Linked DNA regions of Arabidopsis thaliana. The protein of the gene in region 2 interacts with the protein of the main gene of each other region in a pairwise test. Each region holds a gene or a part of one and is shown on either strand. Other genes may lie near its edges.

Evidence for each region.
Region 1: the proteins of FBA5 (region 2) and AT1G65000 interact in a two-hybrid assay, tested with the Arabidopsis thaliana proteins (one large-scale study listed by BioGRID).

What each region holds. Positions count from the first base shown.
Region 1 is NC_003070.9:24,145,125-24,149,615, forward strand, and holds AT1G65000 (F-box only protein), read left to right. Parts: upstream 1-1,800; 5' UTR 1,801-2,031; coding exon 2,032-2,162; intron 2,163-3,128; coding exon 3,129-3,249; 3' UTR 3,250-3,677; downstream 3,678-4,491. Other genes in the region: GTG1 (GPCR-type G protein 1), read right to left, coding at 1-31, 528-742; AT1G65010 (WEB family protein (DUF827)), read left to right, coding at 4,419-4,435.
Region 2 is NC_003075.7:13,388,911-13,393,856, forward strand, and holds FBA5 (Aldolase superfamily protein), read left to right. Parts: upstream 1-1,843; 5' UTR 1,844-2,655; coding exon 2,656-2,683; intron 2,684-2,762; coding exon 2,763-3,016; intron 3,017-3,132; coding exon 3,133-3,561; intron 3,562-3,661; coding exon 3,662-4,027; 3' UTR 4,028-4,355; downstream 4,356-4,946. Other genes in the region: FBA7 (Aldolase superfamily protein), read left to right, coding at 1-127, 260-688, 916-1,274, 1,620-1,626. UniProt on the Arabidopsis thaliana protein: Fructose-bisphosphate aldolase that plays a key role in glycolysis and gluconeogenesis.

The DNA.
Region 1 (4,491 bases), on a different chromosome or scaffold from region 2:
AAGATCCACCTTCCAGTTTATCATCCTTGCCCTGCAAAATCATCAAAAGATCGGTCCAAGGCTTAAAACTCTAAATTAATATTCCAACTAAACAATTGCTACATAATGCCATGAATTCCCCCTCCAATATAAGTATTACGTACAATGACAAACACCTCAAAAGCTCAATGATATAAGCATCTAGTATCAAGTATCAAATTTCCACATGACATAAAGGAATAAACAAGAGAAGCTAGCTACCACACAGTTTATATACTCGATTACATTACACATACACCAAAAAAATTGTCAAGTAAAAAAATTCTTAAGACAATAACTCCATCAATCTACACTCAATCTCAAAATCATTGCCAATTAGGTAAGAAGTCAACAAAATTAAGCAATTGCAAACAAAGGAGGACCAAGTAAGTAACACAATCTAGAAGACAACAAATAAGTAAAGTTTCCAAAAACCTCCAATGCCAGAAAACACCAAAACTAGCTAAATATCAAAAACTACAGAGTGGATTACTCGAGAAAAGACTTACTCTCTAGAGAGAACAGGTATGATCTCGAACAAAACGAGCTGCAATAGATTACAAGAGAAAGCGAAGACGACACTGAAAATGATTTGAACCAAAGCTCGTTTCTCTTCATACTCTTTGTATAATCTCCGATTAAGAAACCATAAACCTGCCCATCCTAAGAGACTTAGTGAAGCTATCACCACCGTGCCTTCGTATATCGCCCATCCGTAACTCATCGTCGCCAAATTCCAGATCTCTCTTACTTCTCGAGAAAAAACCTCAGATCTGCAAAAACCTCATGGCGATTCAACACCAGAGCTTCTGTTGTACGATTCGATTCGAATTTGATCATTTATGAAACAATTAAAAAAAAAGTATTTAAGAATACCTTATTTATTTTTGGTTAGGGTTTATTTGGTTTAAACTCTAATCAACAACAACCTCATCAACTTCATCATCACCACCACCACCATGCGACTCAACTCGAACTCGCAGAGAGGAAGGCGTTATTAAACGCTAACCAACCATTGAGCTACGGAGTAATGTGAAAGAAACTGCACAACAATAGTGTTTCTATCCTTTTTTTTTGTTTATAGGTTTTGGCGTCTAGTCTAGTGTTGATGATAATTTTAACTCCATTTTCCGACATGTTTTCTTATCTGGTCGATTGATTTTTTTGTTTTTCTTTCACTTTTACATATATACACGAAAAATGATCGATTCATTAAAATTGTTGTTTAGAAGGCTTGTCCAATCTTACACGTGTTACCATATATAAATTTGCGGGAAGTGGGAAGGGAAAGATCGGGATATCGATAGTTCATGATAAATCTTATAATTACGGGATCAAGATAAATATTTTTTTTATCATTAATAAAAAATTAATATTTGTGTACATTTTCTTATTGTTAGATAGAAAATTTAATATTATCATAAATGTAAAGAACTTGCTAATCAAGTTATGATTTTTGTATAAATAATCCTATTAGCTAATGAATAAATAGAGAAAACCTGTATTATTGCTAAAGTTTCCTCCAAACTTATCAGACACCAATCGATGATGTATAATATACCATTTTTCATAACGTGATTCTATTATTTTTACCATTCACAATATTTATCATACATTTATATTTGATTTTCATGTGTATGTTATATTTGATGCATGTGGAAAAAATAATTCAAAATTAAAAAAACTACAAAACGTTTTTCTTATTATATCACAATTATTTAACAAAAAAAAGTTTTGAGCTATTTTGTTTATAATGTTTTTATGCTTTTCAATCCTACATTTCACTATCAGAAAAATGAGGCCAAGTTATAAAAATAAAAATAAAAACTAAACCCAATAAGCCCATTAAGGCCCATAAGTCAATACAGCAAAAACAGCTCATCTTTGCTAAAACGTAGATTACTGATTTAATCTACCGGAATCGAAAGGCAATACCAAACTTCCGGTGAACCGGAATCGGATCCATTTGACTTGCCGTAGAAATTAGGAAATTGATTACAGTGTTCTTCGAGAATGGAGAAGAAGGAGATGGAGAAGTTGTGCCAAAGGTGCAAACAAAGCTACACAGATCTTTCAAACGAAACTTCCTCTTGCCGTTTTCATCCTTCCTTCTTCGTTTGTCGTCGTCACGATGACCAGAAAAGGTTATGTCTCCTACAAACCCTAAATCTATTCACTAATGAAGAATCTCACATCCCAAGCAGCTTGATTCGCTAATTTATAATGGCAAAGCACAAATTGTTGAGATGGGTTTTGAAAGCCATCCACTTTATTGTATTAAGGTTCTGGATCTATAGCTAATTTAGTTAGATACCTTAGATTCTTTGTAGCCAATAATTTTGAAGTGATAGATGATCATGATCTCAGTTTAATGGCTATTTGTGGGTCAAAGGTCATGTTTTGGTTGATTTGAAACTAGCTCTTAGCCTTCTTTGCAGATAATTAGCTACTGTTGTATTTGCCTTGCCCATTTCAAACTCTTTAGGCATAATCATGAAGCTGTTTAATGATTGTGGTCACTCTTAAACGTCGAATACTCTTAACCACTGAGGATAAAAAATTATCTCGACAAGTTTTCAAGCTGTCTAGTGGCCTACACTTTGTTCTGCTAGTTGAAAAAATGGTTTAGTCGACGGTTAATAGCATAAATAAAGAGTGGTGAAAAATACAGTTTAGAGATTTATCATCTGATTCTATGTTGCGTGTTTTATCTTGGTAATAAACTTTGGACTAGGAAGGAACGTAGGTGTCTCTGTTCCGTTATTGGCTCCTTTGGTTATTTACTTACTTCCTCTGTTTGTGATTCTCTCTGTTCCATGCATTGTAGTTACCCACATAGCATAGACTTAACTATCTTTTGTTGAGCTTTTATCGTTATGTGCAACGAATGAGTTTATTTTGGTGTTTATGGTTGTTGGTTTTGGCATTCATATTCTTGCTGGTACCTGATATTTGTTATTTCATTTTAATTTTAAGGTGTTTCGAAACTGAATATATATTTATTCCAAACCATGTTTAATCGACTTGAGTATGATGCATCTGTTTGATTTCTACTTTTTACTAAGAAGTGGAATTAACTAGAACTTGTTTTTTTTAATCAATAAATGAAGGTACTATGAATTGAAACCAGATGATCCACCGTATGCTGCCAAGTTCTATGATTGTTGCGGGGCAGAGGATCCTAATGCACCAGGTTGTGTCACAAACCCTCACATTTCATATGATGACTGATGTATGAGTGAGAGCTCTCATAAGCCTTTTTTTTTCCATAAAAACATCATGTAAATAATCTTAAATTATTGTAGCCTTCTTAGGAGTAAAAGACTTAGCTTGTGATCTCTCTGCTGGGTACTGTCTTGAACCACTTCTTGCATTGCACACAGCTACAGAGTGAGCTGTTGTGTTACAGCTTTTGTCGGTTTTGTGAATAGGAGTGTCAGAATCATTTGACGTGAGAAAATTCCGGAACGACTAACGATTTTATGTTTATTTGTAAGGAATGTTCTTGTTTCTATGGTTGCTTTAAAAAGAGTCAAAACTTTATATTCTTTTTATGAACACCAACAACAAAAATCTAAATCAGACATATAGGTTAATTAACTAATGCAAGTAAATGTGGAAAAATTTACAAAACAAATTTCAGAAGATCTAGAAGTAATCTTGAGACAGTACTTATGAGAAATAATCTTGCACTATCATCCCTCTTTTCTATGAACACCAAGATTTCTGATGCACTTATAATTTCTTATTTTGTGTCAACAATAGATATCCAAACAAAGGTAGAGAAAACATTTGAATGTGGACAAATTATAATTATATTAATAAATTGACTGTCTTTAAAGTTTAAACTAAGTTTAGCAGATCTCATTAAGAGAAAAAAAAAATCAACATGATTGAGTAGAGCACATGAAGTCCACATGACACAACTCCAAGATCTCAAACTCTCTGGTCTTAAATCAGATCGTTAGAGAGATTTATTCTCACCTCCATTATTAAATAAAGCCAACTTGTTTTGGTCCACTTCACTCACAGCTTTTATTATTCTTCTTTTTTCTTTTGTCATCATAATATATTACTCCCCAAAAAAAAAAAAAGCAAAAGCGGTGAGAAAGAAAGGAGAGAGAGAGGGTGACCACTATGGAGACAGCGCAACCCATTACTCATTATTAGTCTCTCCTACCATTCTTTTGCCTAAAGTTCAAGACTTTGTGTTCTTCTAACAAGACCCTTAATCGTAAGTTCAAGACTTTGTGCTGTTGTAGTCCTGTAAGAAGAAGAAGAAGAAGACCATGAAATCGATCTGACTTCTCGCAGCAATGCTGAGGATTTAGCTGCATTTATTACTCTTTTTTTGTCAATTCAATTTCTCTTTTCTTTGAAGCTCTTCTCTTGCAACAACAATGGCATCTAGAACCAAGTGAGTACTTTTAGTCTTTCTTCTACTTTCATTACAAGTGGATCTGATATGATTCT
Region 2 (4,946 bases):
CCAAGCTTACCGTGAGCTCCTCTTCACTTCCCCTGGCAGTTACCCTTGCCTCTCTGGTGTTATACTCTTCGAGGAAACCCTCTACCAGAAAACCTCTGATGGCAAACCCTTCGTCGATCTCCTCATGGTCCGTCTCGGAAAAAGCAAACTCCAGCTCTAGTCTTAGTCATTGGGTCCAAGAGTTGCAGAGTTGAAGCTCTTGACATGACCCAAATGGAACTTACTGTTTCAGTTTGGATCTGATTTTTCTTTGGATCAGGAGAACGGTGTTATCCCCGGAATCAAAGTGGACAAGGGTTTGGTTGATCTAGCAGGGACCAACGGCGAGACCACTACTCAAGGTCTAGACTCGCTTGGTGCACGGTGTCAGCAGTATTACGAGGCAGGAGCCCGGTTTGCTAAATGGCGTGCATTCTTCAAGATTGGGGCCACCGAGCCAAGCGTTCTCTCCATCCAAGAGGACGCCAGGGTGCTAGCCCGCTATGCCATCATCTGCCAGGAGAATGGACTTGTCCCGATCGTCGAGCCAGAGGTGCTGACAGGTGGGAGCCACGACATCAAGAAATGTGCGGCGGTGACTGAGACGGTTCTTGCTGCCGTGTTCAAGGCCTTGAACTACCACCATGTCCTCCTCGAAGGCACTCTGCTTAAACCTAACATGGTCACTCCCGGCTCCGACAGCCCAAAGGTATCCAAACTAGATGTTGCAATCCGGTTTTGTTTTGGAGTCGTTGTTTTATTGGTCTTATATTTTGAAACTGAAACCACAACCAAACTGTATCGGTGTGATGCTATTTTATTTAAATTTACATGCCCGGTCCTTACGTAACCACAATCAAATGAATCACAGAGACATCAATACCTCGAAATGCAACGTTAATTTGCTACAAAACGCTAAAATAGTTCTTCTTACAGGTTGCACCGGAACTAATTGCGGAATACACGGTGACTGCTCTGCGCCGCACAGTCCCACCAGCTATTCCGGGAATCGTGTTCCTCTCAGGCATACAGCGCGAAGAGCAAGCGACACTAAATCTAAACGCAATGAACAAGCTTGATGTGTTGAAGCCATGGACGCTCACTTTCTCTTTTGGCGGAGCCCTCCAGCAAAGTGCTATCAAGGCTTGGGCCGGTAAGCCCGAGAACGTAGCCAAAGCTCAGGCCAAGTTCCTGACCAGGTGCAAGGCTAACAAGGACGCTACCCTCGGGAAATACACCGGCTGGGCTTCTGGTGACTCGGCCGCTTTCGAGAACTTGGTTGTGATAGGATACAGGTACTAGGATCCTTTGAGAACGGGCGTTTGCCTTTGATGCGGTTTGAGTAGATATCTAATGTTTCGTGTGTGTTTTAACTGTTTGAATGTTCAATTTTGCAGACTGCTAATAATTGTTATTTTCCGGTTACTGTCAAACTATCCATGTGAAATTCACGTTTTGAAAAGCTAATAATAATGTTTTTATTGTATGAGAATAAATTTAGAAAACTAAAAATTGTTAAGGACATATTACAAGATATCTCCTCTTTTCGCTTTGCTCTAGTGCACATTGTTAGCCAATTCAAACACACTTGAAGTGCTTAATGACACTGAAATTGAATATGATCTTGTCCGGAAACACAGCGGCTGAAGCTATCAACCTTCTTATAAGCAATGGGCGTACTTGAGGGAAACATCATATTTTTAAACCTTGTCTCAGTAAGCTAACACACACCCCTTGTGATTACTTATCCATGTTTATCCACAAGAATGCAGTTGGATTGAGATATTTTCTTCTTTGTTGAAATCAGGCCTCAAGGTGTTCATGTGGTCTGCAAAAAAATTCCCAAAAATAAAGATAGTGACATCTGAAATCGATAATGGATTAGACGAAGAGTTTCGTGTTATTCCTTGGTATGGGCGGGTTTGGGGACAGATATTTTGGCACAGACGAGGACTAGGCCACTGTGGTCCTGCAGCATTAGGTGTCCCTTCCATGTCCTGCATTACATTTTATTGATGGATTCATCACCCTATCTACTACAACGGCTACACAAACTATGAAGAGTTTTGTTTACTAATAAATGCCCAAGTGAGGGGTCGATCGAACCCGGGACACGTTTTTCAGTTTACCATATAGAATTATCCTTGGAACCCTTGATACTCCATAAAACATCACCACCTCTGTTGTCATCTCATGAATCCAGGTTCAAACCTAGTCTCTCTCTCCCTAGTGGGAGGTATATGGCCACTGGGCCAATGATGACAAAATGCAAAAAAAATAAAATACATTTGGGTTCATTATCTAAAATATCTCTTGTGTTTGTAAGTTTTGGTTGCACACTCGTGTGGTTGAAGTGTGTGTGAGAGGTACTATACAATACACTCTGCTTTTGTTTTGTACCTATCTCTTTCTCTTCTCCACATATCCAAGACTTTGGGGATAAAGCTGAGATCATTGGTTGCCATTTGGTTGTGTAGAAGCAATCACCCATTTGCTTTATCCGAGGTTGATAAATTTCCTCGGGTTCTCCTTCTGACACGTATGACAAATTCTAATAGTATATTCCTCGTAGATATTACCTATATATTCTCAATAGTTGCAGGTACTTAAGGCTTTGTCTTGGCATCCTCGTCCTCTTCAGCAAAACTCGTCTCTCTTGCACTCCAAAAAGCAACCATGTCTGCTTTTGTCGGCAAATACGCAGGTAAATTCATACACTTAACATGCACTCTTCTTGTTGAATAACTTAGGTTCTCTCTCTTTAATGCGCTTTCTGTGTTCAGATGAGCTGATAAAGACGGCTAAGTACATTGCCACACCGGGAAAGGGCATTTTGGCAGCAGACGAGAGCACGGGAACTATTGGGAAACGATTCGCCAGCATCAATGTTGAGAACATTGAGTCCAACCGCCAAGCTCTCCGTGAGCTCCTCTTCACGTCCCCTGGCACTTTCCCTTGCCTCTCCGGTGTTATCCTCTTCGAGGAAACCCTCTACCAGAAAACCACGGATGGCAAACCCTTCGTTGAGCTCCTCATGGTCCGTCCCTGAAAAACCAAACTCCAGCACTAGTCTTAATCATTAATCATTGGGTTCAAGAGTTGCAAAATGGAACTTACTATTTCAATTTGGATTCTGATTCCTTTTTGTATCAGGAAAACGGAGTTATCCCTGGAATCAAAGTGGACAAGGGTGTGGTTGATCTAGCAGGAACCAATGGCGAGACCACTACTCAGGGTCTAGATTCACTTGGTGCACGTTGCCAGGAGTATTACAAGGCAGGAGCTCGGTTTGCAAAATGGCGTGCAGTCCTCAAGATTGGGGCCACCGAGCCAAGCGAGCTCTCTATCCAAGAGAACGCCAAGGGGCTAGCCCGCTATGCCATCATCTGCCAGGAGAATGGACTCGTCCCAATCGTCGAGCCAGAGGTACTGACCGACGGGAGCCATGACATCAAGAAATGTGCAGCGGTGACCGAGACCGTTCTTGCTGCCGTGTACAAGGCCTTGAACGACCACCATGTCCTCCTCGAAGGCACTCTGCTTAAACCGAACATGGTCACTCCCGGCTCTGACAGCCCAAAGGTAACGAAATTAAGGATTATAGATCGTTTGATGCTACTCCTTATGGAACCACAATCAAATGAATCACAGAGACATAACTCTAAAACTATATTTCTAACAGGTTGCACCGGAAGTGATAGCGGAATACACAGTGACTGCTCTGCGCCGCACAGTCCCACCTGCAGTTCCAGGAATCGTGTTCCTCTCAGGCGGACAGAGTGAAGAGGAAGCAACACTAAATCTGAACGCAATGAACAAGCTCGATGTGTTGAAGCCATGGACTCTCACTTTCTCATTTGGCCGAGCCCTCCAACAAAGCACTCTCAAGGCTTGGGCAGGTAAGACAGAGAATGTAGCCAAAGCTCAGGCCACTTTCCTGACCAGGTGCAAGGGTAACTCGGACGCTACCCTCGGGAAATACACCGGCGGGGCTTCTGGTGACTCGGCCGCCTCTGAGAGCTTGTATGAGGAAGGATACAAGTATTAGGAGCGTTTAAATACGGGTGTCGCCTTTTATACGATTTGAATATATGTCAAATGTTTCGTAGGCGTTTAACTGTTTAAATTTTTATCGATTTGGTTTAGCGTCTGTGTAATGTTCTTAAACTGTGTTGTGTTTTTTGTGATGGTTTCTATAATATTTTCGCGCCATGACATAACGGTTCGTTCAAAAGTTCGGTAATATCCCCTAAGTGGGTCCCACAAGGAAGTCTATCTTCTTCTTAATCACCAAAAAAAAGAAGTCATTTTCCGAAGGAGAGATATTTTTACTTGATATTTTATAATTGTAAGAATGATCTAAAACTAGTTTGGTTATAAATCCAAATCTTTGAACTATTTTTGATAACATTGTTCATGAATTAGGGATCAGGCGGATGCTCTTACAAAATGGATTAGGGCTTGTGCAACATTATCCTGCTTATTATGTGAACAAAATTGAAGAAACATTTATGCTTAAAAGTTATCCGAATAACAATCATAATATTAATGTTAATAATCGAAGAGAACAAAAAAAAGGGCGTTTATTTAGGCTGGAAAGTCGAAGTCATTGTTATTGAGACAGCACATGCTCATGTGATGAGGGTGGCTCAAGGGTCCACGTGATCCACTCGCTTCTGTCTTAAGCCTCTCTTCTTCTTATTCTTCTTCATAATTTCACAAATCGTTAATATAAAAACAAACAACCAAAACACAAAACAAATCACGCATCGTTATCGCGTGTGACTCCAAATGCTCCAGTCCCAATCGGTCATTATCCTATAAAATAGATTATATTCGAGTTGTATGTTAATAAACAATCACAACATTAAAAAAATGATAAAACTCACATACTCTAACCAACCTCTAATACATACAGTACGTCAGATAGAGTCGTTATGGAAATATCCTACATGCATGGACCAGAG